2 linked regions of the Lepisosteus oculatus genome follow. The protein of the gene in region 1 purifies or fractionates together with the protein of each later gene. This does not show direct contact. Links are inferred from orthologs where the notes say so. Each region holds a gene or a part of one and is shown in the gene's direction. Other genes may lie near its edges. The genes, in order: klhl15 and nudcd3.

What was found.
Region 2: the proteins of klhl15 (region 1) and nudcd3 purify together in Homo sapiens (co-immunoprecipitation; 3 studies listed by BioGRID and IntAct, with this or other methods). This does not show direct contact. The link is inferred for Lepisosteus oculatus from reciprocal best matches to the Homo sapiens genes KLHL15 and NUDCD3.

Annotation. Positions count from the first base shown.
Region 1 is NC_090700.1:4,341,299-4,353,745, forward strand, and holds the start of klhl15 (kelch-like protein 15), read left to right. Parts: upstream 1-5,719; 5' UTR 5,720-5,939; coding exon of another isoform or gene 5,940-6,000; 5' UTR 6,001-6,509; coding exon 6,510-6,588; intron 6,589-6,742; coding exon 6,743-6,830; intron 6,831-7,921; exon of another isoform or gene 7,922-8,056; coding exon 8,057-8,768; intron 8,769-10,019; coding exon 10,020-11,129; 3' UTR 11,130-12,447. Other genes in the region: eif2s3 (eukaryotic translation initiation factor 2 subunit 3), read right to left, coding at 966-1,060, 1,421-1,542, 2,706-2,833, 3,645-3,708, 4,406-4,474. UniProt on the Homo sapiens protein: Substrate-specific adapter for CUL3 E3 ubiquitin-protein ligase complex.
Region 2 is NC_090697.1:69,159,379-69,171,756, forward strand, and holds the start of nudcd3 (nudC domain-containing protein 3), read left to right. Parts: upstream 1-7,273; coding exon 7,274-7,471; intron 7,472-8,937; coding exon 8,938-9,230; intron 9,231-9,871; coding exon 9,872-10,004; intron 10,005-11,740; coding exon 11,741-11,884; intron 11,885-12,181; coding exon 12,182-12,370; intron 12,371-12,378. Other genes in the region: protein transport protein Sec24C, read left to right, coding at 1-53, 170-266, 345-493, 955-1,093, 1,333-1,454, 1,563-1,742, 2,335-2,532, 2,620-2,709 and 1 more; mrps24 (small ribosomal subunit protein uS3m), read right to left, coding at 4,261-4,544, 4,746-4,857, 5,413-5,493, 6,486-6,524.

The DNA of each region.
Region 1 (12,447 bases):
ACATTCATTTCTTCTTACCATTACAAAATATCTTTAATAACAATGCAGTCACCAGTAAGACGGAAAACGTCCTGAAAGCCAAATACTGCCTAGCAGTGGTTCTCTGTCCTGGTTCAAGGGGACCTTATGTCCACTGAACTTGAACTTGAGCTTTATTGCCATATGTAACCGGTACAATGGAATTCATACTGACAGGAAGTCTCTCGATTGTTAAAACAAGCGCAAAAACAAAGTGCAGACAGCGCATCAAGACAATAGACAAACAGTAGACAATGTACAAGTAAACAAGTGAACAGTTTGAGTGTAAACAAAGACTGGAGATGTGCAATAAATAAATAAGAAATCATAATGAGGTAGATGGTACAGGTGTGGTCCGAGGGGCATGAAAAAATATGGAACACTTCACGAACTTGCGTGTCATCCTTGCGCAGGGGCCATGCTAATCTTCTCTGTATTGTTCCAATTTTAGTATATGTGCTGCCGCCGAAGCAAGCAGTCCACCTGCACGCTTAATCACTAGGGCTAAGGGGTGCCTGAAACCGGTCTTTTTCCTGCACAGTGTTTTATATATCATGAAGCATGGAATACCTTAAAGCACAGAAGACTATTTCCAGCAACTTCTACACACAGAGCTTTATGCTCTCTCCTCAATTTGCTAAGGGAGCAACTTCTTAATTATTTCTCACTAAACCGCTCGTAACTGGAGATGATGCACAGACACAGGTGACAAAGACCCTGTAACAGACATCTCCCACAGGGAGTCAGTGTCTTTTCTCCTGGGTAGTTTCAGCTCACACACCTGAATAAGAGTAGCCCCAAAAGTCACTAATCAGCACAGGGTTCAAACAAAAGTGAGCCCAGGTGATTAATGGCCCAGCTGTTACAAACCCCAGCAGGGGTAGGTACTCCAGGACCCAGACTGAGGACCACAGCTGTACAGAAGACAGGATGGAGGGAAACGTTACCTATCAAGAGCAGAGCGGCGTCCATCACAGCAGCCCCGTTCAGCATGGTGGCCATGAGAATGTCGTGGCCGGGACAGTCCACGAAGGACACATGCCTGCCGGGGGGAGGGACACCAAGTTCAGCCATGCTGGGACACCACGAACAAAGCAAGAGCTATAAAAAAACCTCATCACGCTGAATCCAGGCAGTCTACTGCACTGCGTGCAAAAAGGAGATAACCTTAAACCCTGCAAGAGTCTCCAGAAAAATAACACACACCAGCCAAGTAAACTGATAACACTATATGCAACGGCAGTGTGTGAGAGGAAGCTGGAGACAAATGAGATCAAGGTTACAGCAGTGGATGAAAACCACCTGGATTTGTACTCTCCTGTACAGGCAAAGCAAAGAGGACTGTTCTGCGGTAAGATCAATACAGCTGTGTTGCTCCCAGGCTGGCCTGCCCGTCACTGACCTGACCAGTTTGAAGTTGCCCTTCGTCCCTGGGATATCTGTGGGAAACTCGTCTGGAGTGCTGCTGCCACATGACCGGTAGCACTCAGGCCTGGGGCAGTTGGGGTCGTCTAGCTTGTAAACCTGAGAGGATGAAATGAAAATGTCTCACTTTCACACTGAAGTACGCCTCTGTAAAGAACTGCTCTGGGACTATAATCGTGCCACGCCATGCTATAATTTTAAAAGTTTGAAGGACTTTGAGAAGGAGCTTATTACGGTAAAATACAACATAAAAAAAACGTACATTTCAACGGGAAAAAAAAGAATCGCAGCTCGTTTTTTAAAAAAGAATGTCAAGTCTTTTTCAGACATTCAGACGATCACAACACCCCTTCCGCTGCCCAACATGACAAAACAAACAGACTAAAATAACTGCATGTTTGAAAAGTACTAGGAAAGGACTGGGATTCCCAGTCTCCCTCCCAGTCCTGGAGTAACGCTCTGTCTGTTACTTTTTGTTCCAATGGACACTTAATCCCAATCTGCTTACTTGCGCAGGCTTTTTGCTATACAGCCAGGCCGGAATTTTAAAAATGCCTGTCTCTTCCGGATTTTGCCCAAGCTCAGTAAGCTTTTTTTAAATATGCTTTCAGGTCTTAAAATGCTGGATGAAACTTGGAATTGGTATTAACCTTGTCCTAATTAGCGACTTTCAGGACAGCCCCTCATTCAGGTGCGTAAGCTCATATATAACCAATTGGGCATTAATAACTTTATCTATATAGCACCTTCCAGACCTTAAAATGTAGGTCACAGTGCTTTATGGAAACATAAAATGATAAAACTTAGAGGACACATCACACAAATGGTAAATATAAAGCAATTATGACAATCCCTACAATAGCAAGAGCAAATACAAAAAAAATAAAGAGACAAGCCAAAATACTGACTCTGTGACACTGTGGGAGATAAGGAGAGACGGCATCAAGTTCTGTGCGCTGACGAGGTAAGACATTTGGATGAGCTGGAGTACTTGTGAAGCCAAGGACTAAGTGCAGGAAAGTCTAAACCAACAAACACCAGTTGCAAGCACTACTTAACACTAGCGTGAAAGGGGTTCAGGTAGAGAGCCGCATGAGCCCGCGTGTGTTAAGGGTCATTCAATGCTGAACTCAAGGTTGCGAGTGTTTCAAGGCCATGAGGGAACAAGAGCCAGCAGATACTGGGGTACCATGAGACAGGGGCTCAGAACCACCGTGTTAGGCCATCCACCATCACAATTAGCCGTCACACACCGCTCTCACCTTTGCATTTGCGTAGCCAAGCTTGATGGTGATATTCCTCTCCAGCTCGTTCTTGAACCTGACAGTGTGAACGCCCGAGATCGCTTTCACAACTGTCGACTTCCCATGGGCTACATGACCGATTGTACCTAAAGAGGAGAGCACAGGTCAGGCCCCCCTAATCAATGCCACCCAATAACCCACGTGATGTAGAAATCATAGGTCTTGCCCAACCAACTTGTTAGATTACAAGTGATCAAACAATAAAAGTAATAGATACACACAGGGCAAATAAGGCACTGCCCTGAGATTTTCAGAAGGCTTCCGATAACGTTCCTCCTAACCTAATTCTCAAATGCAGGCAGCAGACATTCAGGGAAATGAATCTGGATTGAGAAGTGGTTATTAAATAGAAACACAGGGCATGAAACAGAGGTGAACAGTCTAAGCTGAAGTGATGTAATCAGTTGGGGGTACCGCCAGGGTCTGTACTAGGACCAGTGCTCTTTGGACTTTATATAAATGATCTATAAAGTTAATAAACTAATAGAGTTTGCAGATGATACCAAACAAGTATATACAGTTAAAACTGAAGAACTTAATTCCAGGAATGTTCTATTAAAACAACTAAAAAAGATTCATTTAGAATACTGTGTAAACATTTGGCTATGATATATGAAAATACTGCTACTCTGGAGTCAGTCCAGAAAAGAGCAAGCAGAATCTGCTGAGGCTCAAGGGAAACTCCTATACTGACATACTGAAAGAACTGAAACCTTTTTCATGACAGAACCTATTACAAGTAATCAAAAGCCACAAAAGGCACTGACCAATTAATAATAACATTATTAATTAATTGCCAACTAGAAAGCAGGCCTGTAATGTGCACCTGTTGGTGCTTATTATTACAACCTACAGCGTGTTAGGGTTTCATCTACCTGGACAGATCCAGTCACTTACCAATGTTAATTGTGGCTTGCCTACTGATGATTTCTGGCGAGAGGGGAGTTAGCTTACCCACATTCTGTAAAAGGGAGAGATGATTAAACCGTCTGTCAACACAGAGACAGTCATTTCAAAAAGAACGACAAAAAATAAATGACTTGCTGGCTTCTGGACAGCGGATGACTTGGGTTTTATAGACAGTGAGGGGAACACAGTAGGTGACACAGCTTGTGAACAGACAAACCCCTTTCTATCCTTCTAAAGAGACGGGGATCAGCCCGTCTGTTTTGTTGTTGGCACATTATTTAAATCAACGATAACTTCTGCTCCGCAGACGATGAGAAGACGGGCGGTTAGGACTCTACGGATTTGGGTCTCTGGCGTACACGTCTGCGAAAACAAACGCCGAAAAGGACACTATTGTTAAACTACCCCCTGTTCTCTGAACACCAACGGAGTGATCGACACCGGTCGAGCGTGGCATCCGTGCTTTTTCACACGGAGTTTAAAATCCCAAAACAACGGACCGCACGACGTTAATCTTTTTTTTTTCTGTTTTACTGATGCCCACACCCAACCCACGCCGTCTCCGAGCTGCCGTAGGGTCCTGACTGCACCGCTCTCGTGTGCGGCTCCGCGACGCCGGGTCTGCTCCGGCCCCGGACACCAGCCCCTCGGCCACCCAACCTCCCCCCGCCCCGCTCTCGTCGGGGCTATCCCGGGACGGTCAAGACGGCCGGCGCCCGGCTCCCATTCACAAAAAGGCTGGCACTCACCAGAGTATTGAGATCTTGCCTGGAAAGATGAGGCTGCCCCAGCGTTACTCCTGACTCGTCGCCCGCCATCTTGAACGAAAAGGGAAATGTTGTAGTCCGAGGCGTTTGCCTGACTTCCTGTTTTTATGGAGGAGTCCTTAAGTCCCCTACTTAAAAAAATAGGCAAAATGTCTTGGGTTTCCTTCACTCCGAGGTTAAATGCGAATCAACCGGCGCTCTTTTTCAGGTTTGTAGGATATGATGATTAAAGCAGTTTTATTGCAAAGGGAGCGCGGGTCCTTCGGTTGAGGGGTGATGCAATATTCTCAGTACGTCACGGAATACGTCACTCCGTATGGTTGTGGACTGATGGCAGTAGAACAGTTCTGTGCATAAAAAATGAGAAACCAAACAAGGCACACAAAGTCGGAAAAAAAAGTAATCTGGCGTAAATATACAAAACCACCTTTTAAATATGTAGCGAATCGTGCATTTGTTGTGTCACGTTGTTAGTTGTGTTGAAATCATTGGACTCGGTAGTACGTTACTGGAAATTGCTTCCATGTTTTTTCTAAGGCAATACAGCTGCAGAGGGACAGCGGGACACTGCCACACACACACACACAAAGGGCGGGAAAAGAGGAAAAGCTCGGTGACTATGACTCAGTCCTGTATTGTGCTAAATTGCTTTTTATCCCAGGGCATTACCCTGCAACCCAGGTGGCCTGGCCACTACCTGGATGGGAGACCTGGAAAAGCCAAGGTTGCTGCTGGAAGATGTGTTAGTGGGGCCAGCAGGGGGCGCTCACCCTGCGGTCTGTGTGGGTCCTAATGCTCAAGTATAGTGATGGGGGACGCTATACTAAAAATAAAGGCACCTTAATTCAGATGAGACCTAAAACCGAGGTGCTGACTCTCCGTGGTCACTTAGAATCCCAGGGTGTTACCCTGGTGTCCTGGCCAAACCTTTCACAATCATGGCCTCTTCACTGAACTGGCTTCATCACTCTGTTCTCCCCACTGAGAGCTGGTGTGTGGGGAGTGGACTGGCAAACTCTGGCTGCCGGCACACTATCCAGGTGGGGCTGCATACCGGTGGTGGTGAGTCCCCATGACCTGTTAAGAACTGCAAGTGGAGTGTCCAGAAAAGCTCCATAGAAGTGTAAGAAATTACTATTCATTACGAAACTGCTTTTTATTAAATAAAACCCTTATTTTATCATACTTACACTGTAAAACAATGTAAAGTCGTAGAATCTCGCAAAGCCAGGGTACCCATACGTTTTGATATACTTTGCGCCCACAGAACGCCGCACTGGGACCCGAGACCCCACGACTGAGGCGACGAGACTCTGGCCAGCCCCGCCGCAGGAAATGACGTCAGTGCAGTCGAGAACATGGCGTCTGTGTTGGCCATGAAAGACGGAGGTAAACACTGTCGGGATATCCACTGAAAATAATGCGCTTTGCCAAAAAGGCGAAGAACGACAAAGGAGTCGCTGGCCATGCGTGTTTAAAACCCGGTCCCTTGTTTTCGGATACACAGCTTTAATCCATGTCAGAAGGAGCCCGATCTCTCTGGTCGAAGAGGGGTTGTGTGGAGTCGCATCGCCGAGGTAGGAGCCGATAGATTCTGTCTTGCATTTCCCCCAGCGTGTCGGCAGTGCTAGAAGAAGCTTGTCCACCTGCAGCACACATACACGGGAGTGCCCTTATTTACACCTGGCCTGCTGAATTGGGTTCGGCACCTTGAGATGGGACACCGAGAGGAGACACGATTGTCGGTAATTCGGAAAGCCCGATACCGGCGCCCAGGCATGGGCTGTGCGATTCTGTACGTAAACTTTGCTACACAATGAGGTTTCCCAGCCCGCGATGGGATCGTCCCAGCCTCCCCGTGATGTTAATGGAAGAGATCGTGAATTGACAGTTGCAAAAAACAAAACGCTCAAAATGGAGCCATTACAATAAGACTTGGAAAGAGGATGTTGTGGCTTTTTAACAGATTGAATTATCCTCTTTTCAACATGTTATACAGCAGAACTGCACCCCGAGTGAATGTTTGAAGTACGAGCTTTGCGCATCGTAACGTGGTGTGACTTTAAGGCCAGCATCCTGCTGCAACATGAATCGGAAACTGAACTATTTTAAAGAAAAACAAAAGCCTTCTCAAGTGCGAGGTGAAAACGAGGCTGCGCTTATGCGTATGTGTTATCGTGCTAAATGTAGCGTTGCATGTTCTTTGCAAATCAGTCTCTGTGTCACAGTGTAGTGGCATGTTGGTGATGTTTTTTTCTCTCTGAAAAGGGGCTGTTATCGCCCTCGCTGGAGACTGAAGTGCTCTCTCTTTATTCACAGAGCAGGGAAAGCACAAGCAGAGAAAATGTGAGCTTCCCCACATTACACAGTCTGCAAACCCCACGTTTGGCCTGGATGTACCGAAGAGGTAGTATTTCAGTCTCCCTACTGCTGAGAGTCTGGCCTTCTCTGAGGCTGCTGGACTGTTCTCACCTGTGCCATTGTGAACACATTCAAGTCTGTAGCAACTAAGGCCCATTCTCATCTTCTTTAAGTAGCTGCGGTTCTTGATTTTTTTCCTGTCATTTTCAAATAGCTTACAAATGAGTGTTTTTTTGCGTGTGGTTAACAACGTAAAGCTATGAAGTATCATGCTGCATAACCTGGGACACCAGAGTTATTTCATTTTGCTGCTGCAGGCATAATAATAATAATAAACTATTTTATATAGTACCTTTAAAGGTACTATATACCTTCTCAAAGTGCTTTACAGAAAGACAACAACAATACAAAAATCCACAAGATATACACAATGAGAGGAGACAGTAGATGGGGGTACTGGATACAGCAGGAGCAGAGGGGTGAAGAACAGAACCAGTGAAGTAAAGGCCCTTCTGAAGAAGAAGGGTTTGAGTCTGGATTTGAAGGAGTTTAGAGGAGGTGACTCTCTGATATCCTTGGGGAGAGAGTTAACAGGAGCAGGCCCTGTCACCAATAGAGTATTGACAGGAAGTACCGGAACCTGAAATTTGAAAACAAGGTTATTCTGTAGTAAGGTGTGTATGTTTTGGAAATACACGCTCTCATCAATATTACCATATTTGAATTGAATAAACACTTATTCACCCCGTTAGCTGTAATTAGAGATTGCTAATGAATTGACTAACATAAAGGCGCACAGTCTAATGACTTTCAGCTCTAAGCTTCCTTTCCCCCCTTATCTTACAGAGCTGTGTGCTCGGGTCTCTCCACATCAGAACAGACTCCCCCACCTCCGCTCCCTGCTGGGCCGGGATTAAAAATGTAAAAATGACCAGAAAAAATCAAATGTGCATTTTACTCGCACAGCAGTGATGATTTAGCTTAACCAGCATGCATTAACCATTGCTTCTGGTGTTAATACTGGATTGGACAGGCTGATTAAAGTCATCTTGTTGCCCAGCTATTTCAGCACTGCCGGTAGGGACAGTAGAGATCCAGACCTTTTTCTTTTTCCGTTTTGTTGCTGTTATGGCCCAGGTAGTAAACTTGCTTCTGATGTTGTCCGAGTAAAGCCCGGTCAGCTGTCCTGAAGCCCAGGCTGCGCGGACAGCGTCGTCTCTGCCCTCGCCCCCGGTCCTGATTGCTGTCGCTGCCTGTCCGCCCGCCCCGCAGGTCATTAATGGCAGCGGACGTGGAAGTGTTCATCTCCTGCGACCACGACAGCAGCGTGTCGTCGGGCTTCCGGGCGCTGTACGAGGAGCGGCTTCTGCTGGACGTCACGCTGCTCATCGAGGAGCACCACTTCCAGGCGCACAAGGCCCTGCTGGCCACGCAGAGCGACTACTTCCGCATCATGTTCACGGCCGACATGCGGGAACGCGACCAGGACAAGATCCACCTGAAGGGGCTGACGGCCACGGGCTTCAGCCACGTGCTGCAGTTCATGTACTACGGCAAGCTGGAGCTGAGCATGCTGACCGTGCACGAGATCCTGCAGGCCGCCATGTACGTGCAGCTGACGGAGGTGGTGGAGTTCTGCTGCTCCTTCCTGCTGGCCAAGATCTGCCTGGACAACTGCGCCGAGGTCATGCGGCTCCTGGACGACTTCGGCGTCAACATCGACGGCGTGCAGGAGCAGCTGGACGCCTTCCTGCTGGAGAACTTCGTGCCGCTCATGTCCCGGCCGGACTTCCTGTCCTACCTGAGCTTCGAGAAGCTCGCGCTGTACCTGGACAGCGACCGGCTGAGCCGCTTCCCCGAGATCGAGCTCTACGAGGCGGTGCAGGCCTGGCTGCGGCACGACCGCCGCCGCTGGCGCCACACCGACTCCGTCATCCAGAACGTGCGCTTCTGTCTGATGACGCCCTCCCACGTGTTCGAGAAGGTAGGACCGCCTTGTCGCCTTTTACTGCATCTCGCGCCGCAACAGTAAATCCCCGAAGCATCATGCACTGCTGTGGCTATACAATCTGCTGCAGCACCCTGTCATGCCAAAGAGCAGAGCACAAAATATCAGTGATGGTTACAGCGTTCTGGGCCTTTGCATTTGTTGTCGATGAAGTCAACTTTGATTCAAGAAGCCTGTTTTTCCTTTTTTGGGTAGCTGGGAGCCCTGCAGCACGATGCTTGTGGTTAACTGAGAGAGCAGCGATCCTTCTGCCATGGGACTCTGGCTCCTGTCAAGCTCAGTGCCAGTGGGCCGTATCAGCTCTGCTGGATAAATGAAGCAAGAGGGTTATTTATTCTCAGGCAGTAGCTTTTTTTTTTACTCATTTACATTTTCCCTTTTCTTCCCCCCCCTTGTCGCGAGAGGCATTGGTCTCCAACTCCCATGAGGACTGTAGCCTCACTTCCTGCCGTCCTGTCCACCGAAGTGCTGGACGTCATTTGTCCTTTGCGCCCTTTGTAGGTTGAAGATCTGTGGGCCGCATTTGTCCCAAATGATCTCGGCCCTCAGTAAGCATTTGTTGCCTACAATCTAAACTACCTTTCCTGCCCCCGGGCTTGATGCATTTCAGTCTTGACAGGTTTCAGATTCAGCACCTCTTAATGTTATGGTAGCAATATCTGTTTTTATTTAAATGTAAGTATGATTGCTTGAGTTTGAAATACCCAGTACCTGTCCATTGGGTTATTTATTGGCCGGGACTTCAGAAAAGAAACCCAGAGTAGGTTAAACTGCTGCACAGTGGGTTTCTCTATCCAGTTTCATGTTATTTCTTCTCTAGCAGACCTTATGATTAATGGTGTCTACAGCGCTTTCCTAAGGAATGAAGTTGCACGGAAAGTATTTTTTCAGTATTTAAGCAGAAGGGATGGACAGGCTGTCAGCATAGTCATCTCTTTAAAAAAAAAAAAACATCTCCGAATGAAATAGGGAATGTTTCGTTGCAGGAAATGGTTGAAAGATTAGTTTTTTTTACAAAAAATCTGTTGCGGTTAAATTGAGATTACCCTTTCCTTTTAACCAAAAACGTGGGATGAAATCCAAAGTATTTTGTTTCCTGGGGGAATATTTCTCCGTGACTGCTGGACAAGCACTGATCGCTGGTGTGTAAGTGCTACCTTGTCCCGCCCTTTGACCTCTTGGCGAGGCCCCCCCCCCCCCACTCACGCGTCCTCTGTCCTCGCGCAGGTGAAGACCTCCGAGTTTTACCGCTACTCCCGGCAGCTCAGGCACGAGGTGGAGCAGGCGCTCAACTACTTCCACGGCGTGAACGAGCAGCCCCTGCTGGAGATGAAGTCCAACCGCATCCGCTCGGTGCGGCCGCAGACCGCGGTGTTCCGCGGGATGATCGGGCACAGCATGGTCAACAGCAAGATCCTGCTGCTGCACAAGCCCAAGGTGTGGTGGGAGCTGGAGGGGCCCCAGGTGCCGCTGCGCCCCGACTGCCTGGCCATCGTCAACAACTTCGTGTTCCTGCTGGGCGGGGAGGAGCTGGGGCCGGACGGCGAGTTCCACGCCTCTTCCAAGGTGTTCCGCTACGACCCGCGGCAGAACTCCTGGCTGCGCATGGCCGACATGTCGGTGCCGCGCTCCGAGTTCGCGGTGGGCGTGATCGGGAAGTACATCTACGCCGTGGCGGGCCGCACGCGGGACGAGACCTTCTACTCCACGGAGCGCTACGACATCGTGGAGGACAAGTGGGAGTTCGTGGACCCCTACCCCGTCAACAAGTACGGCCACGAGGGCACCGTGCTCAACGGCAAGCTCTATATCACTGGCGGCATCACGTCCTCCTCCACCTCCAAGCAGGTGTGCGTGTTCGACCCCAGCAAGGAGGGCCTGACAGAGCACCGCACGCGCCGCACCCAGGTCGTCACCAACTGCTGGGAGAACAAGTCCAAGATGAACTACGCACGCTGCTTCCACAAGATGATCTCCTACAACGGGAAGCTGTACGTCTTCGGCGGGGTGTGCGTCATCCTCCGCGCCTCCTTCGAGTCGCAGGGCTGCCCGTCCACGGAGGTGTACGACCCCGAGACGGACGAGTGGACCATCCTGGCCTCCATGCCCATCGGCAGGAGCGGGCACGGCGTGGCCGTGCTGGATAAGCAGATCATGGTGCTGGGGGGGCTGTGCTACAACGGGCACTACAGCGACTCCATCCTGACCTTTGACCCCGAGGAGAACAAGTGGAAGGAGGACGAGTACCCCAGGATGCCTTGCAAGTTGGACGGCTTGCAGGTGTGCAGTCTGCACTTCCCCGAGTACGTACTGGAACACGTGCGACGCTGCAGCTGAGGAGCGGATGTCCGCTTCCTGCTGTTTGTGTCCGGGACCCCCTTGTATTTTAAAACCCAGCCGTTGGAATTCCCCCCCCCCCCCACCCCAAGAAAACTAAAATCCAACCTCCCCCAAAATGAAAATCTCAATCCTTGATGAGGTTTTTAACAATAGGTCAGTACTTACTACAATATTCAGGGAAACTAACTTTCCTGATTCTCTGTTAATTGTTCTGAGGTAGGAGTGGGGTTGGTCAGAGGAAGGTGAGTAGGGTCAGTTTATGCATTGAGATTCAGTCTCAGGCTTTTAATTCTTTCATTTCTTCTCTAGTTCAATTTTCATACCATACTTTTCCCACAAAAATAAAGAGAGAGATCCGCAGTTTCTTTGTCATTTTGGCATACCCTCAACGTTTTCGTTCTGTTCATATCTTGTGTAGAATTCACGGTAAGATCTAACCAACAGTGCAGTCATTATCTCGCAGTGGAAATGGCTCTGAGCTCATGAGTGCGTTTCTGTGATGTACTCTGGCGTTTTTACACACTTTCCTTAAAAAGAGCCTTCAAGTTGGGTCACACGGGACTTCGTCTCCTGCTGGTGTTCAGAGAGTGCAAGTCTGTACAAGCTGTTGGTGTCACATGGAAGCAATGTCTGTAGTGGGGGTGAAACGGTTAGCTAAGGATTGTATGTATGTTGTTTTTTGTTAATCCTGTCTTCTGGAGCATTGACTGGACAGGTGCCTGCGGGTCAGAAACTGCACTGGCCACCCCAGTGGCATTTAGCTGTGATGGAGACGGGCCCTGAGGTCTCAGCACCGGGGCTCAGTGAGCAGCAGCGCTTTGGGTCAGTGCTACAGGAGCTGTAAAGTTGCTGTCTGTGCAGGGCCGCCTACTGCTGTCAGTTCCAGGCCCTGCTGTGGACTGCTTGTGAGTCGTTCAGGTTAAATGTTCGTCTTGAAGAGTAACTCTCAGAAACTACTTTGCATTCGGTATGTCTGAGGACCACTGTAGTGTCGGATTGCTGTAAACACCCACGTGTGCCCATCCTCCCCACTCCCGACATCAGTTAAACACACTGAGCGGCGCTGATGGCCAAATTTTCTCGTGGTTTTTTTTTCCCCATCGATGCTTTTAAACTTTGAAAAACACTTTAGGTTGATTCTGATTTCCTGCTCAACAGGAAGAGATGGCTGTGCCTCTCAGTACGTCTGTCTTAATGATGGCATATAAAGGCTTCTTTAGATCTTCAGGGACGTTGCTTATGCATAAGTAACACACCTAGTTATCCATGAAACGGTATATGTATGCATTCAGTATGATCTAAAGAATTTACTTAA
Region 2 (12,378 bases), on another chromosome or scaffold:
GACACGCTTCCTCCCTGACTGGGGGCAGGGTCTACAACTATGAATGCTTTCAGGTTAGTTTCTGATGGGCTGTAGCAGAGGAAAAGCAGGGCTCGACAGCAGAACTGACATAAATAAAGATTCCCCATCTCTGTCTCTCCGTGTCTGCTTCCCTCTTTCTCTCGCTCAGGGAGAGGCCGACGTGGAGCGGTTCGGCAGTGATTTGAGGAGGTGTGTGGAGGCAGAAACAGGCTACAGGGCTGAGCTCAGGGTCTCTGTAAGCAAAGGTATAGGATCCTCAAGGAGCTGTAGTAGGACAGTTATGCGTGTTTGTTACAATAAATGATCCCACCCTGTTGTTGCAGGTCTGCGGGTGTCTGGATGCTTTGGGGCATTCTCCCCGGGCCCTGATCCAGCTGTCATCTCCCTGGCGGCTATTGATTGGCACACCGCTGTGGCAGTTCAGTTTATGCATCACAGCCCATTGGACGAGCACAGGGGCGTGGCCATGCAGGTGAGCACGGATTGGCTGTTTCCTGCTGGTTGTGGTCCCAGTTGCTTTTCTGAGTAAGGGTGCTTGAGACAAATACTTACTGAGTGCAAACATGTGGAGCTAAGTGACAATGACAGTAAATGTCCCCCTCTGTTTCTGGTTCCAAGTCTCTCTCTCTGTGTCTGACTACTTGACAGAATCAGATATTAGTGGGCTTGATACAAGGATTCTGATTTTTTTTTTAAACCAGTGACACATGTACTAGAGGGCACAAGTAGATGTCACTTTAAGGTGTATTTAAAACCTGAGGCACGTCTTTATCCAAAGGCTGGTAGGAGTGTGGAACAAGTTACCTAGCCTTGTGGTTGTGGTTTCTTTCAAGAAAAGGCTGGATAAATTAACTACTGTCTACTTAATAGGCTGGATGGGCTGAACGGCCACCTTGTTTCTACTATTGTAATGTTCTTCAAATCTTTTGACAGATGTGCTTGTCCTACACTTCCTCCCAGGGAGAGAGGAGGACCAGGGTCCACAGCCTGGGCCTGCGCTGCTCCCGCCACCTAGTGGACACATTCCGCAACAGCCAGGCCGAGACACTGCTGAGCTTCTACTGCAAGAGAGGTGCAGTCTGGTTTCTCAGTCTCCCTTTCTGTATTGGTCATTTGTGTTTCTCTTTTCTGCCATTTTGACATGTTTTTCTTTCTCTTCGATTTTATTCCTTGAATATTTTTCCCCCTAGATGTTCTCATTGCAGTCATTTTACCCCTTTACTGTTGCTTTAATGCAGCTCTGATCAGTGTGCCTGTGTACTGCATGTCTAAGAGTACTCTCCTAGGCTGATCTGTGTATCTGTCCGCAAGCTTACTGCGCCGTGCTGGACAGGCCTCTCCAGGCTGTGAGAGACGAACTGGTCACTGAGCTTACAGAGGCCCTGGCCTGCTACCGGCAGCACTGCTCCTCCACTGCACTCACACATGGACAGGTGGGAGAGGGGGGCACGGCCAGAGAGACAGAGCAACTGCTTGCATATAGTGTGCGTCTTAATGCTGTGCACCTATTCATCCTGTCCTTTCGTGTGTGTGTGTGTTAGCTGGTGCTGCCCCAGTGTCTGAAGGCCCTCCCAGTCTATGTGAACAGTCTGCGCAAGAGTGAGGTCTTGTTGCCCGGACAGCGCAGCTCCGTGCCACAACGACTGCAGCTGCGTGGCCAACTGGTCGCCATGGACCCGGCCCACACTGCCGCTTACTTCTATCCTGAGCTCCTCCCACTGGTGAGACTTGCCACACCGGGGGCCACCTGCAAATGAAGGCGTGGGCCCTCTGTGTGGAGCGTGCATGGTCTCTCCTTGGCCATGAGGGTTTCCTCCCTCGATACAAAGACACAGTATGGCTAAATTGTTCCCCGTGTGTGTGCCTCCAATGGACTGACGGTTATGGACAATGGATGGTACTTCTTTGAAAGAATCCAGAAAACTGGACCAATGTGCATCTACATCCAGAACAATTCCTTCTTTCATCTCAGGGTTCAGACACCACTGGTGAATTCTGTACACCTGCATGAAGCTGCAAAAACCTGGTCATAAGTTCTAATAGCAACCAAGACAACAGGAAAGGGTGTCTAATCCTGCAATTTTGCATTCCTACTTGGCCATTAGGTGCCCATTTCTACTAATTACTGGCTTAATTGGGCCAATTTAACAGAAATTCGTATGGTGCTAGTGACTTGGGGAGACTGCAGCTGTCACGTACCAGGACAGAACACCCCTGCAGCAGGTCCTCTTGACTGACGACTGGTGTCTGTCTGCATCTGTCTCTCCCTGTGCCCCACTCTCTCTGAAACAGCGATTCTCTCCCTGTGCCCAGCCCCTGTGTGAGCAGTCTGTTGGCGATGGTGCCCCTGCAGCAGCAGTGCGTTGCTCAGGGAGCAGTCTGGACTCACGGGGGCTGTACCTGGCCCACAGCTCCCTAGCCCTGCTGCTCTGGGTGGGGGAGCACGTCCCGCTGTCTGTCCTCTCCCAACTCTTCAACGCCAGCTCCTTCAGCCAGCTGCCCTGCGGAGAGGTCAGGAGCCGACACCGCCGCCCGCTTTAAAGAAACATTTCCTCGATTTGGAATTTGTAGTGAAACCCGGTCTTGTCTCTTCTGCAGTGCTGCCTGCCCACCCTGGACAACCCCTTGTCCCTGCGCGTGAGGGCAGTAATCGAAACCCTGAGGTCATGCACAGCCTTCACCCTAAAGGTGGGTGCCACGATGGTACTCTCAGTGCCACATCCTTGATTACACCTACACTGGCATCATCCGTGTATCTACCGACACACGCAAACCAAATGATGGCAAGACATCTTGTTTGCCACCAGTCAAATAAGCAGTGTTTTTGCTACCAGGCCTGTTTGTGTGTCCAGCTGCAGGTGGTGAAGCAGGGAGACCACAGTGAGGAGGCTCTCCGGCACCTGCTGGTGGAGGACAAGAGCCCCAACGGCGGGGCGTCGTACCCCGACTTCCTGTATCACGTGCACATCAACTCCTTGCAGCTGCTGGCGTGAACGGCAGCCGTCTCTTCCTCTTCCTCTTCCCCTTCCATTTTGCAGTTCAGAAGAAATCAAACAGCCAACTTGCAGTCCAACCCAGTGGATGATTTGGCACAAGCTCCTTATTTCTTTGTTCATCTATTGATCATTTTAAGGAGGGGGTTGCACCGGAGAGCTGCACTGGAATGGATGTAAGGCTCATTTTACCAGCACAGCTGTGCTTTCTCTTACTAAATGTCCTGTCCAAACATTCCCCATTGTTCATCCCCTAAACCAGGGCTCTAAAATTAAGCTGGTGGTGATTGGGGGGGAGGGGGCAGTGTCTCTTTTGTTCTGAGCTCTCCTTTTCATTATTTGGGAAATTGTAATACTTTTATCTAGGCCCAGCAACATCTAGGTCCTGCACCTGGAATGAAGGGTTTGGGAACCAACTGGAACTGGAAACATCTAGGCCCTGCAAGTGGAATATGTGTTTTGTCAAATCTGAGGAAATAACCCTATTAAAGGAGAACTCATGATGAGTAAGAAATGACACGGGCAGGCAGAAAAGCCTCCCAGTTTGAGTCTGAGACCCCTCCCCTCTCTCCTCCTGTCTGCCCCACCACATCTCGCTCTGTTTTTGGAGCAATTGCCCCTCACTGGGTTTTTCATTTCTTCTCTGAAAATAAAAAGCTTTCTGGGAACAGACACTGCCGTGTGTCGTCATTGCGTGACAGAAAAATGACAAAAACAAGAAGTGGTGTTTTTTAGAATCCAAACACCGGTCTGTTTAGCTACATGTTCATCCACAGAGGCTGTTCATATGCTAAGCATGTTGCAGATACTCCAAATGTAATTAAAACAATGCACAATATCTGTGCATCTCAAGAATTTTACAGTCCACATTTCAGTTTCTCACTCCCCTATAGAGTGTTCTGTACACTCAGTCGGCCCTGCACACATATGGATACCACTTCAGCACACGCTGACCTCCGATTTCTTACAAACCATTTTAAACTGAGTACACTAATAAGGCTAATGCAGAATATATTTCTTTCAGCTATTTTCATTATATACACAAATGTGTTTATGTAAAGTATATGCATGGTTTCAACTAATACATTCCTCTTGATGCACATGTGGAGAGCTTCTTTTTTTTCCCCCCCCAATGAAGGTAGGCTGCCTCCTGTCCTTGCTCACTGTTTAAACGCTTGAGGCATACTGAGTACAGGTCATGAGGCAGACAACAGAGCTCTGAGACGTTTATAACTGGCTTCCCTGTTCAGAGGTATTTATACACAGCCTTTTGCTGGAGGGTCTGCACCTCCATCTTGACAGGGCACTTACAAAAATGGGAGAGCAGTGTCTCTGTGTAGCCAATCAGGAAATAGCACTTGTGAGGTGGGAGCTTCTGCAGCAGCAGGGCGCAGATCACCAGCAGGTTGCCGCGGCGCTTGATGATGAGCTCATTCGCCAGGCAGCCGTGGAAAGTTCCAGAGATGAATCGCCGCACGAAGACGTCCTCAATGGTGCGCTCAGCGGCGCCCCCTACCCCATCCAGGTTACCTGGGGAACAACAATGAGTGCTTTAACTTGACCACAGGAGTGGGACAGCAATGGGACATTGTGGAGAATGACAGCTAAAAAATATACATGAGGAGACGATGAATAAATGTCAAAAAGAAAACTTGGCTCCAAACAAAGATGGCTGAATTATGCAATGGGCAAGTCTGAGTATGGATCTGCAAACCCAGTGGAAACACTCACTGGTGTGCTGGGACAGCCAGCCCTTGCGGTGGGCAATATAGTGAGGGGCCAGGGCCTGCTCGTACGTCACCGGATTGTCACCCTTCCCAACTCGCACTCGTGCTGCACGATTCTGGAAACAGGCAGAGGAGAAATCAGGAGATGAGAAATACCATAAGACAGCTTTCAGTTAATGCTGAACTCCCTCTCTGAAAACAGGACTTTACACATGAGCTAAAAAACACCCCTGCTGCCATATCTGCCTGCTGACCACTAGGGTGCAGCCTTACTCCGTTGTACATTGAGAGAGAGAAGTTTAATCAGGTTAATTTTTTGTTTATCTCAAGCACGGTTAAATGAAAGCCATTTGAGGTCATCTAGAATCACACTAACATTACTCTGCACTGACCATGTCGATGTAACCAAATCTAGAGGACTTAACACCAAGGCATATTGTAAAATTTGCCACCTGTGGCTGTTATACACTTTTACTAGCCAAATTAATCTTCTCATTATATGACAAAGATACAAACAGTTCAGCGAATCTAGCACATTTTTGAACAAATATTATTGCTATTCCAACTGGTGTAAGTTTTAATACATGATTGCTTTAACGTTTATTAGTACAATTAGTACTGTGGCTACAGTTACTAGTAATAAATTCAATGGGACTACTGGAACCTCTTACCTTGAAGCACACTGCAGTGGTCTGAATTGCTCGTGTTCCGGGAACACATCGAACTGCACTGTTGGCCTGGGCCAGTGGGATCTGTGGGGGCAGAGAGAGAGAAAAAGAGGACACACTGCCTATCAGCCAATGAAGAGGGAAGTGAAAATGACTGTCTGTTTCACACTCCCAGCAGATACTTTTGTATTATAGGTAACACTTTACAACGAGTCTCTGTCTATATTTAATTCATGATTAACGGGAAGTCAAATAAATTACTGAGGTGTACACTGAGCCAAGTCTTTGTATATCGACTGCTTGGCAAATTATGTATTGCTTCTTACATTGTCACATTAAAATGTTTCTTGTAAAGTTACTCAATTATCAGGGACTGGTACTGAAGCACGATCAGCGATAAAGATTAATGTGCAACCAATATGTTTGGTTCCCAGTGACAAAAAGTCCTGCCAGTGTAAAATATGTTTAAAGGGATTTATGTAAAAATGCCTACAAACTACTGTCTGCCATAAATGACCAATTACCACAGAACACTACTATTTAGAACTACAGAACTACCATCTTCTACGTAGTGTGTTTACTTAATGCTATTGCCTTTATACTGAATTAAAGGTTTATTTTCAAGAAGCGAAATATGTCATCGAGACTTTTGCCATCTGCAGTGTATTACCACAAGATAAAAACGTTTAATCTAAAGCTTTTTTCCACTCAATAATTGTAAAACACTCCTGTCAAATGTGATGGATTATATATCGTCCATCATGCTGTACAACGCAAATACAAATCCCTCAATTACAGTTACACAGATTTTAATTTAGAAAGCCTGGACTATTTTATTGATTAAATCATTTGCAAATCCTTTCAGAATCTGCCCAATTAAACGTGTCATTCAGTGTACACAAGCAATAACACAGTTTACAAGATCCAGCAGTAGATATCACCTAATATCTGAAAAGCCAACATATTTCCTCATTATATTACACGTAATTGTTTTTCGTTTAGGGTTCTGTACCACTGTTTTAATTAATTAACTAGATCTACACGACTACTTGAAAGATTTCTAAAGGCTTTCTTACCAACAGCTTCACAGATCGACTACAGAAGGACGTCGCCATCTTGAAACACGCACTGATTTCTGGGAGCAAAGTGGCTATAAAAAAAGAAATATTTTATCTCTATAATTTGCTGTAAATATAATATATGTATTCAGATACAAAAATAATCAAATGCATAAATACATTTTATACTGTTTCTTTTTATTAATTACCAAGTATAATTTCCATATTTACTTTTTATTGTACGAGTGGTGTTCTGATTAAATGAGTCCGTGGAGTTGTTTCCATACATACCTAGAATGTTCTTTTCCGAGGCAATAATTTATTCTGACAGTATTTTAAAAATGTTTAATTATTGTTAAAGGATACATTATAAATTAATTATAACTTAATAATATAACTTAATTTCTTCATAAATGTGAATGTAATAGTTAAGCATACGAAAATGTTAAGTTTCAGTTATGTTCATTTGTAACTTAAAATTACGTTAGAGACGCGTTTAAGTATTTCTCGGTGATGAATTTTTGAATGTTACAATGCCTTCATTCCTTTTTAAAAAGTGCTGACATTTTTTGTTGGGTGAGCGTAAAATTATAAGAGGCAATCGGGCAGGGCAACTTCGTTGTTTTGCGTTTCCACACGGACTGTAAAACGCGAGTCAACAAGAAGCAGGCGAAACCGTAAACCGTATAGACAGAGCAGTGCGTCAGAAGGGATATTTTGAAAATATCGTAGTAAACACCTACCATAAGTGTGCAGTACAAGTGCTTTTTATTTGCGTCGTGTGTGTTACTTCGGTTGTTTACACAATGTCTTCCCAACTGGAGATGACTGAGCTGTACGACAATGCTCTGCTGGGGATACTGCAGCACGTCGGAAACATACAGAATTTTCTACAGGTTTATTTCGGGTTTCTCTATCGAAAGACAGATTTCTACAGGCTGTTAACGAGCCCCAGCGATCGCATGGGTTTTCCTCCTGGGGTCGCCGAGAAAATGGTGCTTAAGGTAAGGTGAAAGTAAATTTTTAAAAACGATACAAATAAAAAAAAAGTTGTTAAACTATGGGATAAGTGCATAAAATAGGAGCGACTTCTCTGGAGCTTTCGGTGTTCCATCAAAAAGACTTATTGTAGTTATGTATGAGAGCACCACTCTGCGCAGATTTTGGAAAGAAACTTACCTGGTGTGTTTCATTGTTTATGTTCTAAGATTATCTCGGTGTACAGCTGGCTCTAGTCTGTGTTGTTTGAAAGTACAGTTACCTAGTGAAGGATTTCAGACAACAGTTTCTTAAGAGTTTACATTTTTTAATTGCCTTTTGCTTTGTCTATTTGTTAACCCGGAAAATTCGCGTTTTGGTGGTTTTAAGCGGTTTAATCCATTTCTCGAAAGGCTTGGAAGAAAACGACGGTGATTTGGGACAGTCTGTGAGACGCATAATTTCGTGTTTTAATTAACTAAAATGATACAAATGTATCTGGAAATCTTTCAATAAAATATGTTTCGGTTAACTTTTGTTTATGTTAACACTATATGGCATTTAGAGAGTTTTTTTTTTATATTGTCGTCGTTTAAAAGCAGTTTTGTCCCTACAAGCGTATTCTTATATACATTCATAACCATAGTGTTTTGTATTAATGCCCTATAGAGGTACATTTATAACTCCTGGTTTCAGGGTCCGTGGGCTCAATTTCTAACATCCACAGAAACAGAGCGCATGATGGAAGCTCCTAATGCCCACGAGTTGTCTACCTGGTGGTATTCTGCAGCGTTTCTCCCAGATAAAATAGAATCTCAATAAAATTCTGGTTTAATAATGAATTCCAACAAATCAAAACGTGTGTTGTGCTACAGCCCCCTATTTATTTGTCTTTTATGTGGAGCAGAAAACACTAGATCGTTAAAAAATGCATTTGCTGTTGTACTTGGGCCAAATTTAGTCATTAAATGCTATCTCCACCAACAGTCACTGGCAATGCAAAATATATACTTGACATAACAATTTGCGTTACCTGTATGTTTAAGTAGTTGTCTGTCAGACTTGTTTTCACATGTTAATCAATACCACCACATATCTGCCAGTAATCGCCCCCCCCTGCAATTCTGCTTGAAGGTATGGAGTTTGCCCCTTGAAATGTAAAGTGAAATATACGTAAGAGTGTGCTTGAGGGGAAAGAGGTGATGAAGACATCTGGTTAACCAAGCATGCCTCTGAAAATCCTTTTTGGAGATTTCCAGATTTGTTATAGTTTGTGTTTAGGGCCATCTGACACGGCAAAAGGTTGTGATGAACACTTTTGTGATAGGGATGTGTACTTAGATGATTCGCTGTATTACATCGGCAAGATACCAATAAGAAATGAGACTTGCTGCAGCATTAATCTCAAATCCAAATATTTTCCTTTGTGTTGCCTCCCCAAATACCTGAAGTGTCTCAGCATTCCTCTCTTCTCTGTCATTTCTCTGCCCAGACATTCAAGGTGTTTGAGCGCCTGGCAGCGCAGGACAGAGAGCAGAGCTTGCAGGAGGCAGAGAACAAGGGAAGGAAAGAGGCTCCCCCTGCTGTGGAGGAGGTGGTGGTACAGTCTGAGGCAGAGGTCCAGGTGCCAGTGCCAGTTCCAGAGAAGGAAGTGTCAACACAGCCCTCACCCCCCTTACAAGAGCAAGTCCAACCCCCCTGCCCAGACCCAGCCTCTGCTGACAACATCCCACCAACAGAAGGAGCTCAGGCCATGCCCATTGCAGAGACAGATGACACAGAGAAGTGAGTGTGGGCACTTCTTATCCCCCACAGAGGACGTTTACTCTGCACAAATGTGTTATAATAAGAAGCAAAGGTTTGGTGCATTGAGGGTGTCATAATTTTTGCTTGGATGGGGAGAGCAAAGAAATTGAAATAGTGGGGAATTTGGTGTATGCCGTTTAAAGTCTAGCATGAAATCCAATATTAATAATATTTGGCCTGGGGCTTTTTTGCATCATGACAAAAGCCGTCAGACTGCATTATTTGTTAGACTGGCTGCAACACAGCTGGAGATGAAAGCTCACACAATCATCAGTGTGGATTTCACAGTTTCCCAAGTCATGCTCCTGCAGGCATCTTTGTCAGTCTTTATGGCATCTTTGTCACTCTGATAGCTTTAGTCACTCGTGTATGCATCTATCCAGCACTCCACAGTCCACAAAAAGATTGCACACAAAAAAAAATCTCTTGTGTTTCCTCAGTTACTTTTAAAAGTACAATTTTGAAGTGTCTTAGAGAGAACCACTTTTCAGTCTCATCTCTGGTATGTGTGCCCACTTATTTGCCTGTGTGTAGTTGTAGTTAGCCTGTTATATTTTTGAGTTTGTTGTTTTGGTTGTAGCAGTGTGACAACCATCCTGTATTGTGTGTTTTATGTGCAGGGTACAGGAGCAGTTCCAGGGCAATCCTGATAGTTACAATGGAGCAGTGAGACAGAACTACACCTGGTCACAGGACTACACTGATGTGGAGGTCAAAGTGCACGTTCCCAGCACCATTCGCAAGGGCAAGCAGGTAGGCTAAATAAAAGAGGCAGACGCAGGTAAAACCTAAAATCAAGGGACATTTCAATACTCAAGAGAGAGAGGAGTACACTGACAGAAGTATTAGGGTTTATAGGGGTACACTGAAAGAGATGGCAGTATGTCACTCAGAAGAAGAGGTGGAGGAAAGGAGAAGTAATGAGACAATAAAAAGAAAGAGAGGCACACAGAGATGCAGGTAGTTCTGGATTTATTTAGTGTTTTTAACATAATTATTAATGAGGTAGCCATGTTGCTGGAACAGTATGCTGACTGAACGTTTTTCAGGACACCAAAACAGAATACCCCTTTTACGCCAATGACATAATCCTGCTGTTGCTCGCTAAAACCACTGCTAGATCAGTGCTGTCAGAGTTGGACTGGACTGTACCATAATGCCTAATTTCATCCCTCTGTTACCACCTAAAACCTTTTACCAAGTAGGTATTTTGAGCAAATTAATAATGAATGTTTTCATGAAAGCATAGGAGTGATAAAACAGAAAATCCTTAACAAATAAGAAATACAATTTTAATTTTATTATAACAATTCTTTTGAAGAATATTTTTTTTTCAGACATAGGACTGAAGTTCTTGAATGTTGAGTAAGTGGATGGTACAGGCAGAAACCATGGAGTAAGTTCTAGAGTTACCCAGGGTTAAACTTCCTGCAGTGGATACAGGATCCTTGTCTGCCTGACCCAGCGATCATGAACCTGATGACGATTTCTTGATTCTTGTAATCACGCTTCACAGTATTGCCTGCCAGCCAGGCTTGATCATATACCCCAGAGTACTTTCCAGATGGATACTGCTGAATCATATTTGGAGCCCCTACTGTCATGGATTAATGTCCCTGTAAAGTCTGAGAATTTGTGGAACATCCTCAGCTTGCAGTGAAAAGAAGGTTTGATGATGAAAGTGAAAGAATACTTTAACAATTAGCAACCAGAAAGGTTAGATGGGTTGAATGTTTGTAATCTTGTGTTCTTATGCTTGTTTTAAATCTTTTTAGGAACCCATTTTTGACGATAGGAGCAACTACGATATTGGAGGTCAACAGTAACTTGGTAGCAGAATCAGTATCACAAATTTAACACATTTTTAAAAGAGGAATTTAACACATTTTTATAATTTTAGTTTTGACGATTTGTTTAGTCACATTTTACATTTTTTCTCAGTCTAAGCTCATTGTGCAAAACTGTATGTGGTTTGTGTTACACGTACTTTGTTTGTCTGGAGGCCACAAATTACCAAATTTCCTCCCACATTCCAAAGACATACTGATTAGGTTAATTGGCTTCTGGGAAAATTGACGCTGGTGTGTGTGTGTGTGTCCTGCAGTAGACTGGCTTCCAATCCAGAGTGTATCCTACCTTGCACCCATTTCTTGCCAGGATAGAATTTTAGCTTCCCCATGACCCTATATGAGAAAAAGTGATTAGAAAATGGATAGAAAAACATGAGTGAGCTCCTATCCAGTAAAAACAGTAAGATTATTTTTGATACTGACTGAGGTTCAAACATTCATGTCTTGTTTGATTTTGGTTGCTTCTATGTCAGTTACTTCTGACAACAGGGCAAAGGGGACTTTGATGTCTGAGCCCTATACAGAAAAAGTTAATATTTAACATTTCACCACAGTTCTTACAGTGTTGTCTTCCTGAAACGGTTGACACACATCCTTTGTCTTTATTTCCTCCTCTCTCCTCATTTCTCCTGGGGCCAGGTGTCAGTGAATCTACAGCCAAACAGCCTGCGTGTTTCTGTGATGGAGATGGGTGTGGAGACGGTGCTGATGGAAGGAACTCTCACTCACAAGATCAACACGGAGAATTCACTATGGAGCCTGGAGCCTGGGAGCTGTGTGCTGGTAAGATGGACACTTCATCATAGTACAGTGCACAGTCTTGAAACTCACTGTAACTCCTGTAGTTCATTCAAACGCTGCAGTTTGCTGGAACACCCTGTAACACAGAGACATAGATGGTCTCCTGCCCTGTGACACTTTCCTTACTTTTTCTCTTCCTGCCCCAGCATTCAAGTCCGATAGATACTTGGCACTGCTCTTTCTTCTCTCTTTCTCTCTCCTTCACTCCCCCTCTCACTTCAGTAAGTGCAGTGAACATTGCTGTAGCTCCCTCTCACTCTTATCAATCTCTCTCTCCAGCTGTCTCTCAGCAAATGTGGAGAGTACTGGTGGTCAGCAGTGCTGCAAGGAGAGGAGGAGATTGATGTGAACCAGATTAACCGTGAGCGCTCTATGGCCACCGTGGATGAGGAAGAGCACGCCGTCCTCGACCGTCTCACCTTTGACTACCATCAGAAGCTGCAGGGCAAGCCACAGAGCCACGAGATGGTGCGTAC